Drosophila melanogaster: one gene and its partners. The main gene of each other region encodes a partner of the protein of the gene in region 2 in a complex. Each region holds a gene or a part of one and is shown on either strand. Other genes may lie near its edges.

Region 1 (3,761 bases), on a different chromosome or scaffold from region 2:
ATTCTTTTCCGACATCTTAGCTATTACTGTTTGTCACCATGGGTTTTCACAATCGGCTTGCTCTTGAAATTGATTGTTCAATTAATACGATGCAGTTCTTAATTAAAAAGCGCAACCACAAGTTCTTTAAAAAATTAAGTTCAAAGTCAATGAGTTAAGGGTTTTCAAAATATTCCTATTCAACCGACTTGCACACTTGCAATGCTGCACGAGAAATGATCATCTAGAGCGCATGGCACCTCCTTTTATCGGAGATTACTTCAATAAAAGTGAAGATTCACTTAACTACATCTCTCTTATCGCGGGCTTTACAATCTAAGAAAGCTAATAAACGTATTAAACCATGTTTATTTAGAAAAACACGTTGGATTTTGTAAAGGGCACAGTGAGTTAAAAAAATTTTAGGGAAAACATTATACTCCAGTTGTGAATGAATATCTCTATTGACTTTTTAATCATGTTTATCAAACAAAATTAGTAATTTTGATGAAACTCCATACAAATTCATTAAAACCACATATGTATATGTACATTATGAAACGCACTGTACGAGCATATTTCGGCTAGCCACGATGATGCCATGCGGTAGCACCCATTAAAAGTAGGAAAACGTGTGAGGTGTTCATGTCTCATGTCATGTCACATGTCTTTACAATTTTTACAATTAAATATATACATTTATATTGTTATTCCTATCCTGAATAAATTGTTCTAGATAGATTATTAATTTATGACATTTGACTATATTATTACTCCACGCTGACTACGTCATTTTAATGGTGAAATTTGTGGGATGCTTAATCATGAGCCTTTATCTCGGATCTTATCTGTGTAAAGCTTATCTCAAAGATGACTTAACACATTAATTCCCATTGAATGAATTACTCATTAGACGTGCAAGATTCTCATCCCACAATTGGGGTTTTATTTCTTATACTAAAAGGAGTTATAAATATGAGGAGCTCTTTTTTCCAAGCCATTCACAATGATTGACACTATTTCCAGCGTCGATGTCCAGTCTTTTGCCAACTCAGCTTACTCGATAGCGTCCACAAGCTTGCACAACATGCGATCGTGCTGGTAACTGGGATCATTCTTGGCCGCCGCATTCGCCTCCAACGGATCCACCTCCGTCTTAATCTTTGCTCCGCCGCTATCGTCGTCATCATCTAGAACCGGCAGAGCTGAGAAGGCGGTATTAACGATCTCGCGCACACGTTCCAAGTGCTTTTGGAAACGGGCGGCGGTCTCAACGCGCTGCCGCTTCTGCATTTCCATCATGACGCGCAGCGTTTCCCTCGCCTGATGTGGGCGAAATTCATTGAGGAGGTGATGCATGTTGACGAACAGCAGACTGATATCGTCAATCTAAGATATCAAATGAGTGTAATACAATAGATGCTACATTTTAATGGGTCAATTGACTCACCTTTTCCGTGCGCCGCGGGCTGTCAGGATTCAGGATAAGAAAGTCAATGAGATCTAGGAAGTTGACCAAGAGGGAGTGGTTAAGCTTCTTGAGCTCCTTGCGCCGATCGAAATGGATGGGGATCAGTCGCTTAATATTCTGGGACTCCAAGCTGCGGATCATCTCGTCGTTGTTGTACTGGATGCCAAACATGCTATAGACTTCGTGCTGCGCCGGCGGCGGCGGTGGGCGTGGCGCTCGGTTGCGGCGGATATTCTCGTCCGTGTAATTGGCGATGTACCGCTCCGGCGGCATCGGCAGGCTGGAAACCTGGGTCTCCTGGTTGGACATTATGAGATTAACAAGTGCGGAAATACAAAAATAATAAATGATTTTTGTTTTGAAGAAGTGATGGCACCTGAGACAGGCGAATCACTCACGATAGTGATGACACTATCACTCAAATTGTTTTCTTAAAAATGAGCACACTAGAGGTTTGAAGCTAGACAATGCAATAATAAGCAGAATTTATTATAATATGTTTTGAGACACTGACAAATAATTTACAATTACAAAAATTAAATTAGATATTAATCGAGCTCGAAATAATAAATGATTCACCGTGCCTAGCTATCGATAACTTAAAGGTGACCATGCTTGCATGCACCCCCTACAGCATTGCCATAGCAATTTTTCTCCGTCTCTTCCCTCATTCGTCGGTAGAGCACAACAAAATAAGAAACACATATATATCTTGATGTGAATAGCTAATTGTTCCAGCACCGATTCGCGCCAATATTCCTGTTCCTGCCAAAGAAATGAAAACAAAACGTAAAACCATAACATAACTGGACCCAACTAAGAGACAAGCCGTGCTGCCTCCACCATTTTGATTTCCCCACTCAGCGTGTGTGCGTGCTTGCAGTGCTTGTGCACGATGCCAGTAAAATGTGCAAAACCGGACATAAAACAAACTTTTCCTAGTGTCATCTAGTGAGCCATGGAGCGGATTTTGCCTGAAGAAGCGGAAGCGGGTAAGCATCCAGAACTTAGGTAACCAACGCAGGACAGCCCCAGGCGTGATCTTCGTTTCCCATTGATTAAGTCAGCGCTATTTCCAGTATACCGCGTGTGTTGGTGCTTCTATGCGAGTGTGTGTGTGTGTGTATGGGGAGGGCCGAAATAAACAATAAAGCGGATCTGCGATTGGGTGTGTGGTTTTTGCTTAAGTAAATCCAATCGGTTTCTATTTAATTCACAGCCTACTTGAGCGAAGCGCGGGAGCAGATATTGGAAATAGCCAAGAATCGGCCGGGAACCCAAGTGGCCAAGTGCATCCGCGCCTACGATGAGCAACAGGACCTGGCCTCGCTAGTCGTCCTCCTCGAAGAGCTCTCCAAAAACACGGACTACTCCACGGACCTACGGATATCACTGGGATATGTGAGTGTTGAAGACCACTATTATCAAGATAAGCAAAACCGCCGAAGAGCAGAAAGATCAAAATAAAAGTGTGACGCAACGTGCGTGGGTTTTACAGTCATGCCTCGATAACTGGTATTTTAACTAAAATTATATAAATGGGTTTTCAAGAAAATCTATTATTTTATTTACAGTGAACACAAAAGCCTGCAGATCCTCAAATACATTGCTTATATTTTCAGTATATTGAAGAGCTACTGCGCCACTGCTTAGGACGAAATGATGTCTCTCGAAGATCGGCCATCGTGGCCGCAGGAAGTGCCCTCCAGTACTGCGGCAAGATCTATGGAGACCGAGTGGAGTACCTGTGCCAGGTGGTGGAGCACCAGATCGAAGCCCTGCTCACATCGGAGTTGCAGAAGGAGACCCCTAGCGGAAGTGCTGCGTAAGTTTAACTCAGAACTGAAGAGTTAAGAAGATGGAGAAAGACAAGGCCACGTGCTCCCCACTTGTCGCCATTGCTGGCTCTTTTCGGTCCAGAATTCCGCTTATCGAGCTTCACTTTACGCCCCCTTCGGCTTTGTTTGCATTAATATCACAGAAGCCGGCTTGCCGTTAATGGACGATAGGGCACGTTCTCGTGCTTCCAAAAACAAATAACAAACAGAGTATATAAAGAAATGAGAAATTAACCAGACAAGTGAAGCTAAAAACGTAGACAGTTCATTCATAAAAATAACAAGTTATTCAGAGATAGATCACATCCTAAATAAATATTTTTACATTATAATTCACTTAAATTCTTTCTTATCAGCCGGCATTAAAGAATTTGGGGAGATTATTTGACCTAAATGTTGAAAGTCTAATTAATTTTAAAGATAGCACCAGTATTTTGATTAAACATAAGATGATTTCATTATAATATTTAAGT
Region 2 (4,186 bases):
AGTCTATAGATAATAAACCGGATAAGCACGGCGGTGGCATCGTGCAACTGACAAATCTGCGTCTGGCAAACTGAAAAGCACCAAGATGATAAATGTAGCGAACGCGAATTGGCGCAAGTGAATCACTCGATTCTTGGCCAAACATTTCTTTGTTTTGTTTTCATTTGGCGAAAAATCATTAGGGTGCACTTACTTGTCTTGATTTGCATAAGTTTGTCCGCCGCCAGGGCCGCAAAGGCCGTGTAAAACTGCGTGAAATTGCTTTCCTCCTCGAAAAAGTCATGTTCGCTATGCAAATATCGGAATAGAGCGTTGTTAGTTCTCGATATTAAAGAATTTTCAAAGCTTTTTGCTATTTCGTCACCGGAGCGGCCATATTTAATTTTGCAAGTCACTTTTTGCACTAGCAGAAAATTTTTCACTACGCCATTCGGTAGGCGAAAAGTTCTAGATGATCGTTTGTACTTACCATCGCGTGATAGCTTTGAGCAAATTAACAACTTCGTTCTTGTTTAAGGCTCCTGTACGGTTAAGTATCAGGGCTTTAACAACGGAATTCCAATCCGTTCCGCCGCTGTGGGCCGACATTATTGTTTAAATAATCTCGTCAATTTGCCCGATAGTACTGAGTACTCGGCCTACTGTGTGGCCAGATTTCATTAACGGTAAAATGCCGTGCGAGCAGGGATACCACACAGCTTTAATCATTATTCCAATCAGCTGTTTTAAAAATACATAAAAAAGTAGTGAATAACCAATATATGAAAAAAACTGTACACTGCACAAAATATATATATATATATATATATAACTATAATATTTTAAACGTATTTGGACAAGCTAATAAATGTTTTGTTTATTCGTCTAAAATATGTAAAGCAAACTAGTGATGCTAGCTTTAAAATAATGATTATTTAATTATTAAATATTAGTGACATATGTATATTTTTTTTGTTTAAATTATCTTCTAAACATCTTAATCGGCTGCAGGCTCATCCGGTGGCTCCAGCTTGACGTCGGCGGATCAGGATCGATGTAGTCCCGCCACCGCCGGCGACATATGCACGTTCGGACCAACCTGTTGGCTACCCGGTCCACTGCCCATACCGCCCATAAGAGTCACATGCTTCCTATAGTTGGTGAACTGCTCCAGGTATTGTTTCACGGTGTCCATTGGCTCAAAGATGTCGTTGTGCTTGGCATGCAGCTGCTGTTGCCCCATTGCCGTCATTATTGTCTGTGGAGCGAAATAGGAGGGAAAGTCCTTATTCACAGCAATGCCGAGGAATCCCTGCAGCATTTCGCGTATCATTTCCCAGCAGTAGGCCAGAATCACGCATGACTTGTACTCGATTTCGATGAGGATGCCCTTGAAGTGCTCCATCATGGTGACGGAACCGAGTTTGATAACAAAGTCACCATACTCGAAACGAGCGCCACGGGACTCGATTTTGGTCTGCTTTTTGGAGGTGAAGGTGTTGGTCATCTTGAGCATGAGCAGATCGAAGATATTGTCGGCGACAATGGCCACTTGTTTGCCGGTGCCATTGTCGATGATCGAGAACGTGGAGGCGGGATACTCGGAGTTGTGCAGGACGTGGACTGCGCGTCCAGGTGCTCCATTGTGCGGCTGTGGCGTCGAGATGAACGTTTCGCAGTCCACCAGAAATTGACCGGCATGTGTGGCGCCCAGGGCGAGCAGACGCTTGCTCAGCTGATCGATTATGTGGGCACCCGATTTGCCTTCGGGTAAGGGATACGGTTGAAGGATAGTTACTCCCATAGTTTATGCAATAATGTCAGCTTTTTAGTTTTATTAATTTTGTTTACAAGTCTTGCAAGCTAAAAGCGTCCAGTGTGACCAGTGCTGACTTTTTAGTCATGAGAAAAGTTAGACAAATAAAAATACCAAACCGGCATACAATTTTCGTCAGCAATAAAATAGGACAACACTGGCCACGTCGCGTGCGGATTTGTTTATAATTTTCGGCAATGCAGTTTCACTTTAAAGTCGCGGACGCTGAAAGGGACAGGGATAATGTGGCTGCGACCAGCAATGCTGCCGCCAATCCGCACGCAGCCCTGCAGCCGCAACAGCCCGTTGCCCTGGTGGAGCCCAAGGATGCACAACATGAGATACGATTGCAGTTGGTTGACCACTTTTCAGAGGCACTTCATGAAATAAATAGAAACCCATTGATACATCCATAACTTGCAGGAATATCGTGGCCACCTTCTCGGTGAACTGTGAACTGGACCTCAAGGCAATCAACTCGCGTACGAGGAACTCGGAGTACTCGCCCAAGCGCTTTCGTGGCGTCATCATGCGAATGCACTCGCCCAGGTGCACAGCGCTAATCTTTCGAACGGGCAAGGTCATCTGCACGGGTGCACGAAACGAGATTGAGGCGGACATTGGATCGCGAAAGTTCGCACGCATCCTGCAGAAGCTGGGATTCCCCGTAAAGTTCATGGAATACAAGCTGCAGAATATTGTGGCCACCGTTGATCTGCGCTTCCCCATCCGCCTGGAGAACCTCAACCACGTGCACGGGCAGTTTAGTTCCTACGAACCGGAGATGTTTCCAGGCCTAATCTATCGCATGGTCAAGCCGCGCATCGTTCTCCTGATCTTCGTCAACGGAAAGGTTGTATTTACGGGCGCCAAGTCGCGCAAGGACATTATGGACTGCCTGGAGGCGATATCACCTATTTTACTAAGTTTTCGCAAGACGTAGTTGTTTCTACACATCCAAATGTTTTTGTTTAGCTTAGTTATATTCCATAACTACAATATTTTTAATATATTTACCTTAACTTTTTTAGTATAAAATGTGAAATGAAACAACTTAATTAATAATTTCCATGGGTAAATTCATAGAAATTGTAAGATTTTATTTTGGCCTTACTAAGCAAATTAATTTTTATTTAAAAAAAACTGTTGTTATTTTAAATAAATTTTTATATATTAATGTCTTGTAATCCATTTCATTCTATTCTTTGAATTAATAATAAATTTGTAAGTAATTTGAATTTTTATACATTTTTGTACCCATTCCTGGAATTTGGGAAAAATATTCAAATCCACAAATTCTGAAGTGTACCAACACATTCCATGAAAAGAAAACACATTTGGATAAACATTACTTTTATTTATTTTCAGGTTTCGTTTATTACAAAAGAAAACACAAGACACTTCATAGAGATTCGATTCGATTCTTATGGTACGGAAAGGAGCGACATTCTTAAGTTGTGTACAAAAATTTCCTTGTTTCTCGCTTAGTAGCTTCATGTACATGGCTATGTGAGATTTGTGTTGGGAATTTATAAACTAATTGTGGTTCATATGAAGGCGTATATACGTATAAAACTTACAAACTATGCAGATTCATTATTTGCATAAATTAATTGGACGGTTTCTTCAACGATTTTCACTTCATTTCGTTTAAAAATGTATTCAAGAGTTAGATAATACAAATTAGATAAATTTCCATTCGATATGCTTGCAAACTTTTGTCAAGATACATTCGCTAATGATTTCTAAAATCTATTAAAGGCATTTTGTGAAAGACACATTGTTTGATTTTTTCATTCCGCACTTGGAGCCCGCTCTATGATAAGGCATAGTACGGTTCGTTACGACTTACAAGATACATTAGGTGGCTACATGTGGTCTGCTACGTGTGGCAGAAGATTCTTTGTTCAGCAATAAAAATAAAATCTAATTTACGTTTAACTGCTGTTTTGTACATTCAATTATACAGCGGGTCAGTGGAGTAAAACTGAAAAGAACTAAAAATAAAACCAAAATGTTGACCAGCATTTTTGGACGGAATGCAATTTCGTTGGCAAACAAAAAAACTACAACTCAAAACAAAAAACTACAAAGTAAACACATTCAATAAATGAACAAAAACATTACGAATCTTAGCAAGTTGTTTCGAGGGTGACTTTGTGAATAGCGTTTCGTTTTCTTTCTATGTGAGCAGTTGCATCATGTTTAGGACCAGGTGCGTGCGACTTCGCAGTAGGTATATGAATACGCTGAAGAAGAGCAGGGACATGGACATGGAGGCGCGCCAGCCCATGTTGTAGATGGAGCAGTACGGACACTGAGAGCTGCCGCACACCTCACAAATGTTCAGCAGATATGTGGGCAGGGCATCGAATATGGATTCGTTGAATC
Region 3 (4,956 bases), on a different chromosome or scaffold from region 2:
GGCTTGATCCAAACTACTGAAGCTATATTTGGACTCGTCGAAGATCTCTTTAAGGATCACACAGACCACTTTTTCTTTTTAACTAGTAGAGTTAACCAGGATCCCCTTGAAAATATATTTGCGTGCGTTCGAGCAAAAGGTGGTAACTGCAGAAATCCTTCAGTTAACGAATTTAATATAATAATTGCCAAGCTCATATCTCTACACATTTTTAAATTTTCACAAAAGTCGAATTGCGAATCAGATGATGATGTTATGTTGCCAATAGAGTTCGATTCGATAATATATCAGCCTTTCGTTGAAAAAAAAGAAATACAGCAACAAGAATACTCTGTATCATTTTCCAAAATCGTGCAAGACAATGAGAGGTACTTTGACCAAAATATAGATAACTTTTTGTGCAATGATGTACCCATTGAATTAACTTCCAGTAGATATTTTGTTGGATATATTGCTAAGGGATCCAGTTGCGATAAATGCAGATCGGTAATTTTAAAAGAAACCGAGCATTTAACAGCTCCATCAGAGCTTTTTATACATGAGAAAAACTACTCAATAGAATCGGACTTCGGGAAATTAAGGGCACCATCTGATTTATTTTTTAATATTTACAAAATACACATTAAAGCTTTCGAAAATATTTTTAAAAATAATAAAAAACAAATGTGTATAAAAAAATTTATTGTTGAGCAATGCATTAAGTGCACAAATGAAAGTAGTGCCTTCCCATTATGGTTTTATGAAAATAATGAATGTTATGCACATAGAACAGATCTTTTAAACAAACTTATAAAAGTTTTGCTTTTTAAGCATTGTAAGTGGACTGTGATAGCTGATAGACAAAAAAAGCAAGCTAAGCTCAGCATTCTATCTCATGAATAAAAAAAATGAGCGTTATTTAAATAACTGACGACTGAAAAATCGAGCAATATATAATAAAAAACAATAGTTAGAAAAATAACTTAATTGGGGAATATGGAAATGTTTTAATGTTAAACATTAAAATATTTCAAGTCGACTCGAAGGTCATATACGTAAATATAAGACCCCATTACAATTGTAATGGCCTCCCCGTAGTGTTCCCTGGGTACCGACTATTACACATATTACACATAAATAATTATCAACATAAATATAAATATGTAAACGGTAGCTAATTCGAGCGGCGATTTTAACAAACGAATTTAAAAAGCTTTAAAATTAAAAAATTTTAAAATTAAAATTAAAATTTTAAAATTATAATAAGAAGGGCGCGAATTTTTAAAAATTATTTTATTTCATCATATTGCTACGAAATTGGCAAAAAACTACCCTAATATGTACAATGTAAATTCATTTCTTTGATCAGAATTGATTTCGGCCCGAAAATCGTCTTCTAGCACAACACCCACACATATACGCGTTCCCGTCTCTTGTTTTTACTCACACAAGCAAGCAAATTCTATTTTTAGATTTCTTATGTTCTCAGCGTGAGCGAGCGGAAAGAGAGCAATTTTGGCCGTCACCAAAAAAGTGGCTGCATAGTGCCAAACCAATGTATGGCCGTTACGCATCTTGTTATTCTAGTGTCTTTGGTATGGCCGTTACGCATCTTGTTATTTATATGGCTTTGAATAGACCATGTGCAGTGTGATTAATGTGGGGGTATGTATTAAAAACGACATATAATATAAGTATATTTATGTATGTGCAAAAGGAATATATCAGGATATTTCGGTAAGAGCGACAAACCAGCCAAGTGTGAATTTATGAAGTTGATGCATCTATATTTTTGCAAATCTCAAGTTTATATGCAGAAGAGTCACTGTCGTTATATTTGAATTTTGCTCACTAGCGGAGATGATTAAATTTTTTATTATTGTACTGAAATACAAAAATGTTTTTTAAACTTAATTAGCATTTTAAGTAATAATAGTTTTTCTCCGGTATTCTAACGTTACCAGTGTGAACGGATCGGACAAGCATTCTTCCTAATTTAGTACTACTAACCGTTTATATTCCAATTACACTATATATATGGACACAGTCAGTTTTGGTTTTTGTCAAACACGGAAACACAGTATAAGCATGGGGTAGCTCAGTTCTTAGACGGGAAGGTCAATAAAATCTCTTCTGCTCGAGGTTCAGAATAAGAATAATATTATAGAACATATTAAAAAAAAAGCCGCTGTGGTAAAATGTGAATATAAAAAATTAAACATATTCTTTTTCTGTTGCTTATTAAATGTAAAATATATTCTTATATACAAAAGGCTTCCAAAGGTTTTGCAATAAGAAAAAAATATATACTCGATTTTGGTGCTGAAGGATAGTACTATAGTTTACTTTTTTTCAATTGTGAGATGATCCCTTAACCCAAGTTATGGGGTTTGGTAATTGTAAGCCATTTGTTTGTTTTTTGTTTTTGAAGAACACCGAGAGCATTTGTTTTGTACAAATCCTATATATACACACTTTTTTCAAATATTTCGCATTGAAATGAAAGAGTTTAAGAATCTTTATATATCCTTAACAAAAAAAAAACGGCATTGCTAGTCCGAATAAAATAAGTTAAGGGTAAAAAAACAAACAATATTTTAATATTCTCCATATTAAGTAAAGCGGGTAACTGGACGGAGAATCTACGAAATCGTTTTATATTTTACAAAATATATAGGACAACGGGAAAATATCCAAACCACAAAGCAACAAAACCTTCATTTTCTGGTCTGGTATATTTGACCCTTTTTTCATTTTGAGATTCACGCATTTAGCCCAAAAATGGACGTTTACTTTATATAATACTCCTATAGGTTTTCATGTCACATATAATACAATTCCTCTTCAATTCTGTTTGATAGCAGTATGATCAGGCCTTCCTGTTAAAAGAAATTCACGTGAAAGTATATCGATAATAATTGTTAAATACTTATCGATTTTCTGCCACCCTTGAAGTGCAGCTGTCATTGGTAAAAATGGCGAATTGTAATAAAGTCGGGAAGTCAACCATAAATTATTAATTTTCCTTATTTTGGACAAATACAAATTTTCATATTCAAGGAAGTGCGCTCAGGAAGCACAGACTTTACATTCGAAGTGTGCATATTTGTAAGCATAACGATTGAGCAATACACGTTTTGTATTGGTATGAGTGTTTCACAGACACGCTACTAACTCGGGTATTAAAATTTTTGAACTTCTGGGTCTTTAAACTTTACTTAATAGCAATTTTACGGCTATTTATAATAGTATTTATTTTGCAACAACGTGAAGTGAATACACTATAACTTTTTACTTTCTACCTACTACTTACTTTTCTATTACTTTCCTTATTTTTCTAACTTGGACAGTATTTGCATTTCGCCGTCCCTTGAATCTGGATCAGGGCAATATTTACGCACCGCAAGATATAAATGAACCAAATCGAAATACAGGAACTTACTACTCACCTATCCCAGGCACTTGATCAAAACTACGATGTAAGAAAACGTATTACCTTATCAACAAATCAGTTAATGTAAAGATCTTTTCAGGTCGTCAATATGGACGCAGTTCTCTGTGTCATATGTGCATTGGAGGGTACAACTATCACCAAGGAGCAGTTGGAGGCCACCAGATTGGCTAAGTACATAAATCAGCTCAGAAGAAGGACTAAGAATGAACATTTGGCTCGACGTGCAAAATCCTTGCTGAAAAAGTGGCGGGAAATGGTAGGAATTCAGCAAACAGCCACTGAAAATTTGGCACATCCCAGTCAAATTTCATCTTCACAACCAGCATTAGATTTGGTTAAGTCCCCTATCACCAGCTTTATTACAGAACCAATTGCTCCTTCGCAGCAAATAGTTTCAGATTTGCATTCAAATATCGACTCTGCGGAGCCTCCGCTTTCGGGTGAACATACCCTACTTCATCCGAACTTCTCCAACCTTGTAAATAGTATAAAAGATAGCGATCGCCACGAAAACATCGCTATAACGACATTGCATACTCACAAGGATCGGCGACATTCGCATTCCATCCGAAGTTGCCACGTGGCCTCTCCTCAGCCCATCGTCATAGATCATTCGGTAAATTCCGTGATTAACTTGACCGATGACAGCACCGTGAAGATAAACGAAGCTTCAGTTGTTATTGACATAGCTTCGGATTCCGATGAGAATGACAATAACGGTTCGTTAAATCCAAAAAAATTAAACTCAATTGTTCCTGCGCCACTTCCAATACCATCTACACCAAGCTCACGGCAACGCAAATTAAAAAAGGAAAAAAGAAGTAAGGAAAGAGAAGGACAGGTCGCAACAAATACAAGATTTGGTGCAAAAGCCAGCGACGGGTTTCAACAGGCCGCTCTGACAACAGATTCGGGTATGATTCAATTGTATTTGTCTTTGTGTCTATCCTTGCAGAAGCTCAAAGAAGCTGGGTTCGGAAAAATGGAATTTTCGAAATTTGAAAGCTGGAATCGTGTGCCCACCAATTAGTTTTTTTTTGTCCACGTCCAGTCTTTGAGATCTGAATTTTCAAAAAAGTTCGATAATCAAAAAGTGTACTTTTTCAAAAATTTTATATTTTAAATTGCAATAACATCGTTTGCCAACACTTTTGAATTTTGAAAAAACGTATACTTTAGAAAATATAAGACATTCAAGTTAATCTCGGTCTATTCAGAGAATAGAGCGTTTGACCATCTCTTAAAACTAAATATTATCAATAAAAAACGTTTGCCCAACCATTATTATTAGTTTTTATCGTTTTCCCACCCTTAAGAAAACCTTTGACAAATTTTTTTTTTCGATTGCCCGCACTTAAAAAACCAATAACTTAAATAACCAATTTCTTTAGCCCACCTCTTTAAAATGAATATTTTCAGCTTCCAGCTTTTTTGAGCTCAGTGCAGAGGGTGTTTATAACGCAATTGGATTTTCTCATCTCCAACGCTTCTCTAACGCCCACAAATTGCCACACTTTTCAAAA

What was found.
Region 1: MED20 (region 2) and MED7 share a complex: the UniProt entries of both Drosophila melanogaster proteins name them as parts of the mediator complex.
Region 3: MED20 (region 2) and MED26 share a complex: the UniProt entries of both Drosophila melanogaster proteins name them as parts of the mediator complex.

What each region holds. Positions count from the first base shown.
Region 1 is NT_033777.3:10,759,175-10,762,935, forward strand, and holds MED7 (mediator complex subunit 7), read right to left. Parts: upstream 1,859-3,761; 5' UTR 1,760-1,858; coding exon 1,430-1,759; intron 1,369-1,429; coding exon 1,036-1,368; 3' UTR 897-1,035; downstream 1-896. Other genes in the region: CG31272 (uncharacterized protein), read right to left, coding at 1-15; Cap-H2 (chromosome associated protein H2), read left to right, coding at 2,409-2,442, 2,670-2,851, 3,073-3,275. UniProt on the Drosophila melanogaster protein: Component of the Mediator complex, a coactivator involved in the regulated transcription of nearly all RNA polymerase II-dependent genes.
Region 2 is NT_033779.5:8,070,979-8,075,164, forward strand, and holds MED20 (mediator complex subunit 20), read right to left. Parts: upstream 1,871-4,186; 5' UTR 1,784-1,870; coding exon 1,025-1,783; coding exon of another isoform or gene 977-1,024; 3' UTR 834-976; downstream 1-833. Other genes in the region: poe (purity of essence), read right to left, coding at 1-70, 194-288, 470-588; Trf (TBP-related factor), read left to right, coding at 1,993-2,147, 2,219-2,738; Mcr (macroglobulin complement-related), read right to left, coding at 3,978-4,186. UniProt on the Drosophila melanogaster protein: Component of the Mediator complex, a coactivator involved in the regulated transcription of nearly all RNA polymerase II-dependent genes.
Region 3 is NC_004353.4:785,583-790,538, reverse strand, and holds the start of MED26 (mediator complex subunit 26), read left to right. Parts: upstream 1-1,560; 5' UTR 1,561-1,644; intron 1,645-2,924; exon of another isoform or gene 2,925-3,087; intron 3,088-3,329; 5' UTR 3,330-3,392; coding exon 3,393-3,458; intron 3,459-3,512; coding exon 3,513-4,347; intron 4,348-4,956. UniProt on the Drosophila melanogaster protein: Component of the Mediator complex, a coactivator involved in the regulated transcription of nearly all RNA polymerase II-dependent genes.